Oryzias latipes: one gene and its partner. The protein of the gene in region 2 interacts with the protein of the main gene of each other region in a pairwise test. Links are inferred from orthologs where the notes say so. Each region holds a gene or a part of one and is shown on either strand. Other genes may lie near its edges.

The links. The genes of interacting proteins can lie anywhere in the genome.
Region 1: the proteins of spg21 (region 2) and s100b interact in binary tests that used the Homo sapiens proteins (3 or more experiments, as listed by UniProt). The two-hybrid records come from large-scale screens. The link is inferred for Oryzias latipes from reciprocal best matches to the Homo sapiens genes SPG21 and S100B.

What each region holds. Positions count from the first base shown.
Region 1 is NC_019860.2:3,716,154-3,718,639, forward strand, and holds s100b (protein S100-B), read left to right. Parts: upstream 1-987; 5' UTR 988-1,074; exon of another isoform or gene 1,075-1,110; intron 1,111-1,201; 5' UTR 1,202-1,226; coding exon 1,227-1,364; intron 1,365-1,457; coding exon 1,458-1,604; 3' UTR 1,605-1,921; downstream 1,922-2,486. UniProt on the Homo sapiens protein: Small zinc- and- and calcium-binding protein that is highly expressed in astrocytes and constitutes one of the most abundant soluble proteins in brain.
Region 2 is NC_019861.2:37,281,113-37,284,869, forward strand, and holds the start of spg21 (maspardin), read right to left. Parts: upstream 2,216-3,757; 5' UTR 2,082-2,215; intron 1,916-2,081; coding exon 1,853-1,915; intron 1-1,852. UniProt on the Homo sapiens protein: May play a role as a negative regulatory factor in CD4-dependent T-cell activation.

The DNA.
Region 1 (2,486 bases), on a different chromosome or scaffold from region 2:
AAGTTGCACCTGGGAATGTGTTGCACCCAAGTATAAGTTGCATCTCCATATAAGTTGCATCTCCATATAAGTGGCACATGAGTATAGGTGCACTTGCATATAAGTTGCAACCGGCACATAAGTTACTCCTGCATATAAGTAGTACCTGCATATAAGTCCCACCTGTGTATAAGTGCAGTTGCACATAAATTGCACCTGCGTATAAGTCACACCTGGATATAAGTTGCACCTTTGTATAAGTCGAATCTATGTATAAGTCGCACCTGTGTATAAGTGCACTTGCATATATATTGAACCTGCGTATAAGTTGCACCTAGGTATGAGTAGCACCTGCGTATAAGTTACTCCTGCATATAAGTAACACATGCATATTGGTCGCACCTGAGAATAAGTAACACCTGCATATAATTTACACCTGAGGATAAGTAACACATGGATATAAGTTGCATATAAGTTGCACCTGCACATAAGTTACTCCTGCATATAAGTCGCACCTGAATATAAGTAACACCTGTGTATAAGTGCAGTTGCACATAAATTGCACCTGTGTATAAGTCGCTCCTGAGAATAAGTAACACCTGCATATAAGTTGCACCTGTGTATGAGTCGTACCCCATTCAAACCATAAAAACATTTAAAGAAGAAACTCAGAAAAATAGGGTAATCTATCAATTATTCTTTTTAAAAAACAAATTTTTATCATTTAACGCTACACAATACTTTTATGGAACATGTTTAGGATTACCAGCTTTATATTTGACAGTGAAAAGCATCCTAAACAACAACAAGAACAAAAACTCTCCTGCTTTTTTTGTGGGTTTTTCTTTTAGCTGCTTTTAATCCAAATACTTTAATTTCACCGGTAATTTAGACGTAATGGGAAGTCATGATGTGCACAATTGAAACCCAGCTGAGTCAGGGTGTGCAGTGGAGTGAGGGGAGGGGGAACTGATTTGATTGGCCTGTAGTTTTGACCGACAGCTGGCATCTCCGCCTCTGTGCAGCTGCGCCTTAAAGCCCAGAGCCCATCCTTGGCTGCTGCTTTCTGGATAATCCGCCTGCAGCTGCTCAACGGTAAAACGGTCTGTCAGATGTTTGATGCTTTGTCTGGTTGGTGTTGTGTTAAGGGAATCGACTCATTTCGATGTGTTTGTCCAACTTTGAGTTGATCAATCATGTCACCTTTCTTTTGAAAATTGAGTTTGGTCAGAGAAACGGGTGAGGAGATGACTGACCTGGAGACGTCGATGGCGACCATCATCGCTGTGTTTCAGAAGTACTCGGAGAGAGAAGGAGACAAGCACAAGTTGAAGAAGAGCGAGCTGAGGGAGCTGCTTCACGACGAGCTGCCGGAGCTGATGGCGGTGGGTGAGCGGCGGAAGGTTTGGCTTCACATTCGACTCACCCGAGCGGCCGCAGTGAAGCCGTCCCTCTCCTTTCCTCCCCCCCCCTTGCAGCACGTCAAAGACCAGGCCACGCTGGACAGCCTGATGGAGAGCCTGGACACGGACGGCGACGCCGAGTGCAACTTCCAGGAGTTCATGACATTTGTCTCCCTGGTGACCGTCTGTTGCCATGAGTTCTTTGAGCATGAGGACGACTGAGGACACAAAGGGGTTGGCAGGGAACCTGAAGGAACTCTGTGATGCGGCTGCTGGCACAAATCCACCCCATAGTTTCCACTAAGTGGTGATGAAGTTAGAAAATAGCCAATCTGAAGGTAGGCTAGTGAAAGTACCGATTTTAGACAACCTATTTTTGTTTTTTTCTTTCTGTTAAAGTCAGTCAGACTGGAAGATTCGTAAAAAAAAATGCTTTTCTTTGTAGTGATTTTGAAAGCACTTTCTCTGTCTAAGTTTAGGGTGGAGCCTTTCTAATGATAAACTTTTGCTCTGAATCAAATAAAGAACATTTCAAAATAGTCAGTTGTGTTTGCCTATATTCTACTATGGATTATTTATTCCTAATTTAACTCCAGATTTGACATAAAACTGTCAAGTGGCTGGTTCTTAATCCATCTAAGCACTTGTGTTTACGGTTTTACGACACATTTTAGACTTCAAAAAATACTTTTTAGTAAAGCTTTTTTTTTTTTTTTTTTTGCAATATACAGTTTGGTTTTCCTTTTATTATCGGATTTGCAAAGTAAGAATAACGAAGACATTTGCAGAAAAATGTTGTGTTCATGAAATTTTTGATCTTTTAAGATTAAAAAAAGGATTTAAGAATGATGCACTATAAAAAAAATATGGTAAAAAAATCATATGTTCTACATAATATGAAATCTCAAGTTTTTATTTTTGAATCTTTAAATTTGGGCAAAAGTCATAAAATTGTTGGAATTTTAGCACTAACTTGTGATTGTGAAAATAAAAATTTCTTATTAAACTAATTATTTAATCCTACCTGAGCCAAAACAAACTGGATCTAAAAGATCATATAATGAACAAAATTGATTAAAAAAATCAATTTTCCGCCAAAACTCT
Region 2 (3,757 bases):
CCCTCCGTCCAGTTCCGGTATACAGTCAGTGGTAACAAAAGAATCTGCAGAGAGGTTTTTCTGAAAATCTTAAATCCTTCAGATCAAACTTGTCTGGGGGGTTTTAAGCCGTGCTGCCAGAAGCTGACCTGCATCAGTCACTCAACCTCTCTGTCCCAGAATGCATCTCTCCTGAAGTGCATGAGTGAGCAGAGGGAAAACGAGTGGATTCGTGCCAGTAAAAGCAGCACATGTGATGCCCGTGTGAAGCTGAGGGAAGCATGTGACGGCTGGGTGATGAACGCCGTCACATGACTCTCCACCTCTCAGAGCCTCAGCAGCAGCGGCTCAACCTCCAGCTGCGGGAACCAGCCGGGTGTCGGCTCCAACGCCAAACAAATCCCCATTTTTAAGAGATCTGTGAGCTAAAAACCCGACGGGAATAATCGTCTTATTCCAAAAGACAACGCGAGCCGTTGTTCCACCAAACAGCAGATCCGAGGACCAAACCCGTTTTCTGAAAGCTAATCTCATCTTAATCCAAGAGGGCGATCCGTGCCGCTGAAATCCAGCCTCAGATTTCTCATTTTCACGCAGAACTCAACACAAAAGTCATGAACTAAAGCAATCAGAACGATTGTTTAAGCAATAATTGACCACAAATCTTGAAAAAAACCTAACAAACTAAATGCAGAGACGCCTGACACTCATGAGGGGATTTGTGAGGTTTAAATTAAACATCTTTAGCAGAAAACGTTGTGATATTTTCTTAGACTAAAATAGAAACACAGCTGTCAGGCTCCAAGCTTCCTTTTTCCAAGGTAAAACCTTTTTTTTCTGCTGTGGAATGAGATGCAGAGTCTTCCTACTATATTCACTAACCACAAAAACAATGTTTACAACAATCTGAATGTAAATAAAATTTGAAAAAAGACAACATTTGAGCAAAATCATAAAAACTTTATGATTTTATCAAACATCTGTTTGAGCGGAGCTTCATTTTTCCAAACTGTGGTTCTCCAGAAAAACCATAAACCAGTTTAAAAAGTGAATACAGGAAACAGGTGAGACAGAAGGGACAAAATGAAAACACGTAATGGCGAAGGGGCGTGGTCTAAGCAGTGCGTTCTTGGTCTTATTTTGTTGTTTGTCAACTGTTTTCATGGTGATTTTATTGAACAGAAGGGAAGCAGGTCACAAGATCAAGTATTAGTGCATAACATTTGTAAAACGTTTCTTAGACAGCGTGACAAGCTAACGTGTGCTTTAGAGACCATGATACTACCACCACCTGTCAGCTTAAAGACCACGCCCTCATTTCCATATAAAGTAATCCTCAACCTTTGAATAGGAGGGCTTTAAAACCAGGTACGGTAAAGAACACGGGCGCTAAAGCCACGGCGATTAAAGGGTTCATTTACAGAACCAACCGAATTCTACGACAGAGTCAGTCACAAAAGTCTGGAGGACATTTCACAGCAAGCCTCCTCCGACTGTAGGTTGAGGCTAGTAAACAGAAGAAGAAGAAGAAGAAGCCCCTCCCTGCAGGCGCAGTGTGAACACCTGGTCTGAACGGTGTGCATGTAGTTTCAGAAAAATAACCTCTCTGGGTTTAAGGAGTTCAGCTGTGTTTGTCCTGAAGCTCGGTTCTGAACAGGTTCGGCTCATCAGAACCTGAAGGTTGATCCAGCAGGACAGAATCCCGATGACCCGTCACGGAATGGACCCCTTCACACCTGGGGTGCTTTTGTATCACGTGACCACGAGAGCAGGTGTTTCATAAGAATTTCAACGCGCGCGAGCGTTAGCCCTCATCGCATCGGCGACGGTCCAGCTGCTCCGGAGTGAGGCGCGTGACGAGGCGGGAACTTACCCTCTTAAGTGGCACGGTGCTTCGGAACCAGTTGTAGTCTGGAGACACCTTGATCTCCTCCATCTGCGGACACAGAGACGGTGACTCAAGTGTGTGTGCGGGGGTGTCCGGGCTCAGCTGCTTCCGCGCGGGGGCAGCTGTTAGCCATAATAGCGGCTAGCTGCTAAACGAACCCCGCGGTAACCCCGTTAACGGCGTAGAAACCGACCGCCCCGCCAGCCCCACTCACCGTGGACGTCACCGTGTCAGAGCCCACGCCGCTGCTCGGTGAAGGGTCACCGTGTCCGGAGACGTTTGTCCATGTCGGGTAGCGCTTGGAGCGGCTGCAGCTCGGTCATGTGATTTTCCTTTCACACACTTCCGCAAGTAGCCTCTCCGGTGCTGCGTTCGCGGTCGCTCTGAAAATCCTGTTCTCCGGCAGTAAGAAAGCCGCTTTGGTTTCTTAAGTCTTGCTTAATTTCTGTTGTCGTTACAGTTTTCATCCTATACAATGTAGCACTCAAATGTATTCAATGTTTGTCTGAATATGGAATCAATAGAAATGTAAGAAGACATTACAGACTCGAGATTCTTTCCACACAAAACCCAACGAATCTCCGAATCCCCGTTTTTCTCAAACGCATCGGTCAAACCTCAAGGTAATTCTTCTCATAATTTTAACTTCAGTCATCAAAATATTTGGATGAAAAACTTTCTAAAACAAACTTAATTCTTGAATGAAATGCGTTTTTGTTCGTAAATTGTTCTGAAATTACAATTCATACAAGTAAAATGGAATAATTTACATCTTCAGTGTGGATCAGTCTTTCATTGAAATCCTGTCTGTTCTCATTTTTTTGTGGTTTAACCTGGACAGGAAACTGAAATGACAAGATGTGTAGATTGGTTCCGTTTCCCAGAGCGGTGTTGGTGTGTCGTTCAGACTTTGGCCCCCATCGGTTCTCCAGCTGTTTCTTTAAAAGCTTCATCTGAAATCGTTTAACCACCTCCAAGTGTGTCTGACGTGACGCAGAGAAGATCAGTTATGGAAGGTTTAAACTGCTTCCTCAGGTCGTCCCCACTGTGAAGGTCAGTTTATTGGAAATGTTTTCTTCCCATTTGGAACTTAAAGGCAGCTTTAAAGCTTGTGAAACATGAGCGTAACCCCAAAGTGAATTTATTTACCCTAAACTGTTTAGCTGTTTAACAAACGTTTGATAATGAAGATAAAAAGGAGGAAAACCACAAAAAGACAACAGTAGAAATGATTTTTTTACCAAACTTTATAAAGTTGAGGGAAGTCCTGGAGCCCCAAACAGACTTAAGGACACATTAAGGGAAGAAGCTGCATCAGATTCTCTTCCAGGCACATCAGCGTCTCAATGACAAACGTTTTGGCAGTGAAAGCTCCAGAAGACAGAAGAAGTGCTTTAAGACGTTGGAATCTCCCATCCGACACATGCAGAACGGTCCTGTGCAGCAGCGTTCTGCACTGCTGAAGGTCTGAAGGATGGACGCATTTGAACTCATTCACCAATGTCCAAAGGTCAAAACCTTAGTGAGGGGGCGGGGCCAGAGCCCAGACCCACTGTGGTTAGTCTAGAACACGTTTGAGTCTCCTGGAAAGTATCAAACGTACAGAATCACAGAGAGCAGAAAATCCCACTAACCAATCCCTGCTCAGAATATGAAAAGCCCCGCCCACATCACACAATTTAAAGTAAAAAAAAAAAGTACCAACAGATGTAGAAATACACAAGTCGTGTATTTCTACTTTTCCCTAAAGGTATAAATGCACATTTGGATGAACGTTTCCGTCCGTTAGTCCTTCAGCTGCTAAGCCGATGTGGAAGTTTGAAAAAGCTGGAAGTTTTCTAAGGTGCTCAGTGTGAAAACACACACAAACACACACATTTAACGCTGTGA